Linked DNA regions of Drosophila melanogaster. The protein of the gene in region 2 interacts with the protein of the main gene of each other region in a pairwise test. Each region holds a gene or a part of one and is shown on either strand. Other genes may lie near its edges. The genes, in order: CG12766 and CG6665.

The links.
Region 1: the proteins of CG6665 (region 2) and CG12766 interact in a two-hybrid assay, tested with the Drosophila melanogaster proteins (one large-scale study listed by BioGRID).

What each region holds. Positions count from the first base shown.
Region 1 is NT_037436.4:3,937,901-3,942,210, forward strand, and holds CG12766 (uncharacterized protein), read right to left. Parts: upstream 2,226-4,310; 5' UTR 2,185-2,225; coding exon 2,107-2,184; intron 1,988-2,106; coding exon 1,820-1,987; intron 1,752-1,819; coding exon 1,579-1,751; intron 1,460-1,578; coding exon 1,315-1,459; intron 1,257-1,314; coding exon 1,059-1,256; intron 996-1,058; coding exon 795-995; 3' UTR 724-794; downstream 1-723. Other genes in the region: CG10863 (uncharacterized protein), read right to left, coding at 3,213-3,404, 3,472-3,669, 3,726-3,870, 3,964-4,136, 4,203-4,310.
Region 2 is NT_033778.4:16,955,594-16,959,698, reverse strand, and holds CG6665 (uncharacterized protein), read right to left. Parts: upstream 2,235-4,105; 5' UTR 2,133-2,234; coding exon 1,507-2,132; intron 1,439-1,506; coding exon 1,015-1,438; 3' UTR 772-1,014; downstream 1-771. Other genes in the region: CG9010 (uncharacterized protein), read left to right, coding at 1-635; PIG-V (phosphatidylinositol glycan anchor biosynthesis class V), read right to left, coding at 2,597-3,946.

The DNA.
Region 1 (4,310 bases), on a different chromosome or scaffold from region 2:
CATCTTGTTTACCTGCAATTCGTCGTGTTCCCGGCGATTTGCAAGGATATTTGTTATGGATGTGCGCACATAAAAATATCACACAATATTTGGAAGAGTAAATAAATACTTATCGATATTGTTCGGCAACCGCTCTATCGATATTTCTTACAGCCAGCAAATATACTGTAATGCGTTACAAAATACCGCGAGATTGAAATTTAAAATATTCGCTGTAACATTTTTCTATTCATGACATTGATCATTTCAATTTTATTTTAAATGCAGCAGAGAAAAAGCTTTTAATGTTATTTACATTGGTAGATTTTAATACAAACATATTATTTCCTATTTTCACAGCTAGCTGGGTAAAACAATCGACTTCTTATATTTTTCTTATCGAGAACTTGACTTTCATAATGGATCCGCTACCCTATTTTCTATTATCTGTTCTATTGTGCATTATGATACGGGTACAACTTCGATTTAAATACAATCAAAAATAAAAGTTTTCACTTTTGTTGTAAAAGTATATCAGTTTTTAAATTTTTGCATTAAGAAATATATACATTCTCTAAGAAAAAACTGAATGACTGGAACAAAAAAGTGCCGCGCTGTTTGATTTATTAACCAATCCATGTGAATATCAATGGGAAGTACTTGTGATGATAAGGCCAAAAAAGACATATACAAAACACTTACGAAAAATACTTACCGATTGTAAATGACGTTAGAAATCTTCTTGCTTTTGGGCATTCCCTTACAAGGGTTACTATTTATTTATTAATCATAATAACTTAAATATATTTGTTGTATCAAAAACAAGCACTATACACGTTGAAGGGATAGTATTTACTCTTGATGGCTTGTCGGGCATGGGCAACACGTTCTCCATTGTGATACGAGTCCAAGATGGCATGATCTTCAGCATCCAGCTTGAAATCGAAGACATTGAAGTTCTCCTCAATGCGCTTGGGATTGGAGGACTTGGGCAGCGGGATGGTTCCCAGCTCAATCTGAAATTAGAATTCATCATGAGAAATCCGGTTCAACATAAGGCCTAAATCGAAAATCCTTACCACATATCGGATCACCACTTGGGCAATGGACTTATTGTACTTGTCTGCGATGGCCTGAACCTTGCCATCGTACATAAAGGTGGGCGTCCTCAACTCGGCATTGTGCCTGCCCAGTGGACTGAAGGCGGTCACCAGGATTCCATTCTTCTTGCACAGGGCAATCAGTTTCTTCTGATCCAACGCGGGGTGTACCTCAATCTGCAGAAAGAACAATATGAGTTGAGAAACTGGAGGGAACATCCTGTGACTAAGTTACTTGATTGTGGATTGGCTTGATCTTGCAGTTGGCCAACAGGCGCGTCAGTTGCTCCTCGTTGAAATTGGACACTCCGATGCTCTTGGTCAGGCCCAGGTCAACCAACTTCTCCATGGCGCCCCAAGTGTCCAGGTAATCAATGTCTCTGTAGTTTGAAGCAAGTAAACGGCATAGTAAGATTACTGATAATAGAAGGCGCATTTCACAATCACTTGTAAGTGCCAATCGATTCGAAATATTTCATATATTATTCATTTTACTCACACAAGTTCCACCTCTCCATTGGCATCTTTGGGAATCAGTTCGTTATCACCGCGATATTTATAGGAGAAAGGCCAGTGAATCAGATAGAGGTCAACATAATCCAGGCCAATATTCTTCAAGGTCTTTCGGCAGGCATACTCCACCCTTTCCGGTTCATGGAAATTGCACCAGAGCTGCGGAAATATGTGGCCACTTAAGGATTAGTTTATGATATGCCTGCTATAAGAACTTGCCAACTGACCTTGGTGGTGATGAATATGTCCTCCCGCTTGATGACGCCTTCGGCAATCTTCTTCCGAACCGCCGCACCCACTTCGGCCTCATTTCCGTAGAAGTAGGCGGTGTCTATGTGCCGGTAGCCCACATCAATCGCGTGGAGAACTGCCCGTTCGCAATCGCCTTCCGTCGACTGAAATCACAAGTCATCAATAACGTTAGCGGTTCTTCAAATGACGTTAACCCGGCTACTGATAGGCGACATTCCTGATCCGTATCGGATATGCTATGATCAACCAGTCAATGTCATACCGCGAAGGTGCCCAGTCCGATTCCCTGGATATGGGTTCCGTCGTTGTGCTTGAAGTAGTACTCCACTTTCCCGGTCATCTTCGCGGTTACAAAGTTGAACACTGAATGCTTGGGTTGCTCGCTTCACCTCTGTTATAAGGTTTTCGAATGGGCCCATAGAACCTTCAAAAGACCTTTTGCATTTGCAGATAAAACACGGCCAAGCTGGCAGAGAAACTTGGAAATAGTTTATAGAGACGCAAGGAGCGTAGGTTCTAAGTGTGCTAACCAATATATTAAATGCATTATTTTAATGTTTTAATAAGGATAAATTAAACACATATTTTTTATAAATGATCCAAACCAAATCATGTGTAAAATCCCATTTAAAAATATGTGGGAACACTTTTGAAAAACACTTATCGATAGCTTGATAGTTGAGTGGCGCGCAAAGCTGATTCGGTTAACTTTATCGCTAGTTTTGTTTATTTACCTATTACATGTGGGTTTGTTTATATTCTCTTCCCTTTTATAGCTTTTCATTTTTGCAATCTGCCTTGCAGTTGTGAATAATTGAATTCAGACAAGTGTTGGCGAAATTGTACTAGACCAAATGATTTTGATTAAGTGGAATTTTCCATGCCAAGCCCACACTAAAAACTAAATGATCGAGCAAAAGCTCTCTCTCAAATCATTAAATGTTCAGCAGTGGTGTCCAAAAAAGGGTATTGTTTAATTAAGATTATATGTATATAATCACAAAATGAATTCGTATTGTTTTCATAGATGACTTCAAATGTTTATTATATTTTATGCCCCTTTAAAATATTTGCCACACCCTTGACTGCAAATAAGAAACAGTTCAAGTGATAAGACTAAAATAGAAGAATTACGTACTATCAAAATGCTTAAAAGTAAAACTAATGCGATATTATGTAAAAAAAAAAAAATAAGTGTGCTTGTTATATAAAAATCTCCAAAATAAACATAAATATTTCAACATGAAAAAAGATCTCAAAAATAATTATTATTGGTGTTTATTTTTAAAAAACATATGTATATGTACACAAAATATCAGATTTAACAACCACTTTAATTAATATCAAACATTGCTCCTGCTTTCCAGCTCAAAACTCGATGTTAAATGGATAGTTCTTGCTTTTGATGGCGTGGGTCATGGGAATCAGACGTTCTCCGGTGTTGTAGGAATCCAGAATGGCATGATCCTCAGCATCCAGCTGGAAGTCGAAGATCTGGAAGTTCTCCTCGATGCGCTTGGGATTTGAGGACTTTGGCAATGGGATGGTTCCAATCTCAATCTATTTCGATAAACATTATGTTAATAAAGAGTTTTTGTTCTCATTAAACCTAGTTCGTAATCCCTACCAGATATCGGAGCACCACTTGGGCGGTGGACTTCTTGTACTTGTCTCCAATTGCCTGCACCTTGGCATCATAGATGTAGTTGGGCGTCTTTTCTGCTGGATTGGGTCTGCCCAGGGGACAGTAGGCGGTCACTACAATGTCATTCTTCTTGCACAGAGCAATCAATTTCTTCTGGTTCAACGCGGGATGACATTCGATCTGGAAAATGGTCTATTAGGAATATGAAACCCAAGGCATAACCACAATTGACGCACCTGATTGTGGATTGGCTTGATCTTGCAGTTGGCCAGCAAGCGAGTCAACTGTTCCGAGTTGAAATTGGATACGCCGATGCTCTTGGTCAGGCCCAGTTCCACGAGCTTCTCCATTTCGCGCCAGGTGTCTAGGTAATCGATATCGCTGTAATAGCACAAATTTGGTCATTAAGAGTCAAGCAAATACAAACGAAGCACACCCGCATTAGAAAAGTAATTGACTAAATTAAAAACTCACTTGAGTTCCACCTCCCCCTTGGCATCGGTGGGCATCATCTCGTTGTCGCCGCGGTAGACGTAGGAGTAGGGCCAGTGCATCAGGTAGAGATCCACGTACTGCAGACCAAAGTTCTGCAGAGTCTTGCGGCACGCATATTCCACCCTCTTCGGCTCATGGAAGTGGCACCATAACTGGGGAGTATAGATTTCCATTTCAGGATGTTGGGCATTTCATAATTGACTAATCACAGAACTCACCTTGGTGGTGATGTGGATGTCCTCCCGCTTGATAACGCCCTCGGCAATCTTTCGCTGGACAGCTGCACCCACCTCATTCTCGTTCTCGTAGAAATAGGCGGTGTCTAT
Region 2 (4,105 bases):
TGAATCTTGAGGCATACAAGCCGGGCACAGCAATCATCTCGAATGCCTCATGCACAACCAATTGCCTGGCGCCGCTGGCCAAGGTGGTGCACGATAACTTTGAAATATGTGAGGGCCTTATGACCACCGTTCATGCGGCTACAGCTACCCAAAAGATCATCGACGGACCCAGCAGCAAACTCTGGCGGGATGGACGCAGTGGCATGACCAACATCATACCCGCATCCACGGGAGCCGCTAAAGCCGTCGGCAAGGTGATTCCGGATCTAAACGGGAAGCTAACGGGTATGGCTTTCCGTGTACCAGTTCCCAATGTCTCGGTGGTGGACCTCACCTGTAGGCTTTCTAAGCCCGCCAAAATGGACGATATCAAGAAGTGCATAAAGGCTGCATCCAAATGCGAAATGAAGGGAATCCTGGGGTATGTGGAGGAGGAGGTGGTGTCCACCGATTTTAACGGCTCACGATTTGCATCCGTCTTTGATGCCAAGGCCTGTATTGCCCTAAACGATAACTTCGTCAAGTTGATCAGTTGGTACGATAACGAGACCGGATATTCCTGCCGTCTCCTTGACCTAGTTCTCTATGCCCAGTTGGTCGACCAATGCGATGCGAAGGAAAAGGGTGCTTGCTAGATGGAAGATCCATGTAAGAAAAAAGGATGATCCCTGCAAGAAATAGGAAGATCCTTGCAAGAACAAGAAATAGGAAACTCTTAGAAAAGAATTAAAAATTTTTTTAACCAAGTCTAGATTTATTTAAATTAGATTTATATTTAGAAATCTTTATTTACTTAAAAATTAATGTAATGTAATCCATTTTACCATAGTTTTAGGCGCAGATTTCATATTTTGCAATTCTTATGGGCTAAACTATAGATAGCATAGGATGCAATCGGCTTTTATTCGCCCTTTTTCCAACAAATAAATAAAGAACAAAAAAATGTATACCCATATTTTCCTGGCAGACATAAAAGCCAATAAGAAAAAGTGACTGAATTCTTTGGAAATTGTCTTAGACATTGCTGGAGTTCCGCTGAAACTGCATTGATGATATACTCTTAATCTCATTGTCCTCCATGACACCTCCATCACTGCTCTGATGGTGGTCCGCCTCTACGATGATGTCATCCAGTGTGGGTGTCTTAATTCTATTGCGTATGATGAGATCTCTGTCGGAGGGTGCTTGAAGATGAAGAGGATTTGTGGCTAGCTCGGCGGGACCATCGCCACCGCCACCACCGCCTCCCTGCAGACCCAGAGTCAGATTAACCTTGGCGTGCTGTCCAGTCTTAAGTTCACTGCTGGGCTGCACATTTTCCAATGTCGTGGGCGGACGCAGGCGCGCAGGATCTAGTAGGGAATGCATTTTGGTCTGTTTTCTGGGCGTTCGTGCAGGCGATGCCTTACGAGAATTGTAGTTCTTTAGCTGTTTGGATCTGTAAGGTAAAAGCAAAGTTCATTGTCATTGAAAAGATTAACAAATAGCCCACTCTAGTTCACATACGCCTCCATCAGCTTCAGCAGCAAATGGTGATACGCCTCGTACTCATCCTTTCCGAACTCATTCGGATCGTGCCGAGCATGTTCGTACATATCGCAATATTGGTGAATCATTCGCTGCCCTGCTCCGTTAAGCGTCACCGATAAAGTGGTCAGCAGAAAGGCCCTCAAGCTCTCAGGAGCATGTCGGGAGCTACCGTCCGCCCTCGCTATTTCGGATTCTAGCAGTTTCACGTCATCAACCGCCTTCATGCGGTAGTAGTAGGGTGGCAATGGTGCCTCCTGCTCCGGCTGAACGATGTACTTGTCGCCATCGTCCCACAGCAGTTTCGGCTCCTGCGTGATTTTCTGGATGCAATCTAGGCGCCGCTCAATCTCTCTCCTTAGTGCCTTCTTGGCATCATTGCCTACCGGAACGTGGGGCCCCCGACGTCCTCGCAGCTGGAAGCGCATAATCTGCCGCTTGGCAAAGATGAACAGCATCAGGCAAGTAAGTACTCCTCCGCTGATTATGATGATTATCATCACGCCCGAAAGCTGTTCCATGTTGCCGCCCGCCTTGCTGGCCTTCTCCTGAAGACTCGGTGCGGCGTAGTCGCCTACCTTATGCAGGCGCAGATGCCCATCCATGGCGAATACTTTTTAATTCGCGGATATGAAATAATAAACAATTTTCTCAAGAAAATTCTTTGTTGTTTTGGTCAACCACCCAAGTCAGCTGATTCTGAGTGTGACCGCTTACGTTTGGAAAATACTAGAAATACATAATTATATCTTATATACCAAGTTTCAAAAACGAAGCGCAAATTTTAAACACATAATTTTGTAATGGTTAGGAAAATGTAAACTTATGTAACAGTAATACAAAACAATCATTACAATTATTTTCTAAAATGGTCAACAATTTTATTTTTTACTTTTTTGTATATGATATATGGAAATAGAAATGGGAAACCAATACTTTTGAGCGCCTCAACAATTGAATTTTGAGAACTTGGACGATTATTTACACACTAAAAAAGAAATCCATGCGGATGAACAGTCTCTTTGGCAACCAGCGAGTTATATTGCTCCTTTTACTTCAATCATTTTGCTCACGTCCACGGGTAATTATTACTGAATAGCACCGTGCCCACCAAACTATAAGTGGTGCACCATACAAAGAGAGCTCCTGCCTTCGAACGCAGTTTTAGTTGGGCCAGTGTCTTGGGCATGTGGTCAGCGGCAAACCAGTAGAAAACAGGTGTGGCCGAGGCCAGGAGGCGTGTGGACACTTGGATGTGCACGTAGACGGTGCAGACAAGGGTGAGAATCGCAGCGTGCAGCACGAAAGGGAATGTGGTGTGGTCCCTTATCAGCTCCTTGAAGCCAGAGGGCGTCAATTTGGCCCAGACCGCTTTGGCCAAATGCTGCATGTAGTCGTAGCAGTGCCAGTGCATGAAACTCAGCATGGGCAGGGCCAGCAAGAAGTTGGGCAGCTGTTTCCACTTGTAGTATCGCAGGAAGCCCACATCCCAGTAGTGCGACTGCACGTAAGTGTAGGGGAACGGCAACGTGTACTGGCACCAAGGTGATCCTTCAGAGCCCTGGCCAGACAATAGGTACTTCCGTTCCACTGCGTAGTCCACAATGTGCTGCGGATGGTTTGGCCTTGTGTTCGGCAGACAGTATAGCCTGTATATGTAGAAATAGTAGGTGTGCAGTATCCCAATGGCTCCCAGAATGGTCAGCGTCATTTGTGTCAGCTGCATGCAGGTGTTGGGCTCCTTGTTCTTGAGTAGCAGTTGGCGTCCGAAGAAGTAGAGCGGGTATCCCAAGGTGATTAATCCATTTGAGCGGCACAGTAAACAGGCGGCTAAGGCGGTTCCCAAACGCAGATATCGGAAGCTACCCGTCGGCTTCGAGCACTCCAGCATCAGATGAAGGCTGGAGTAGGCGAAAAAGGTCTCTGAGTAGGCGGCGGTGAAGAAAATGGTTGCCGGATTAAAGCAGTAGATGAGGGCCGCATTCCAGCTCTTGTTTAAATCGTTGAACAATACTTGGGTGAGCTGAAACAGCAAATTAGCTGACTCGCAGAAGAGCCAGAAGTTCAGGGCGACAGCCACCACCAGCAGGATAGATTCCTGTGATAAGGAGATCCCGATGGCCTCCACGGCCTGTCCCACGTGACGCACGACAACCGGATATAGTGGATAGAAGGCCAACGTGTTTTCGTAGCTGTACAGATTCTCGGCTATATGCAGAAAGTATTCTCCATCCCAGTGCCGTAATCCTCCCAAGCAGCGCTTAATCACCTTGTCTATCCAGGAGGCATTCTGATCTGACGAAACCGGCATCCGGAATACATCTGGTTTGTGCTCTGGCAGGGCTCCGTTGGCGACCAATTGTACCAGGAGGACGATAAGGCGACTGGCCAGCGCCAGTTTAGTCACTTTCTCTGTCATTTCAGATTTCTAGGTCTTGGGTGGAGTCGATTATCATTCGGCGGGCATGTGATTCATATCAGGTCGAGGGCATACCTCACAGCTAAAACGATGTGGACGGATCTTCTGGCCTGGACACTGCTGCGGAGGGAAAAAGGCAAATCAGCTCCTCGGTTGCTT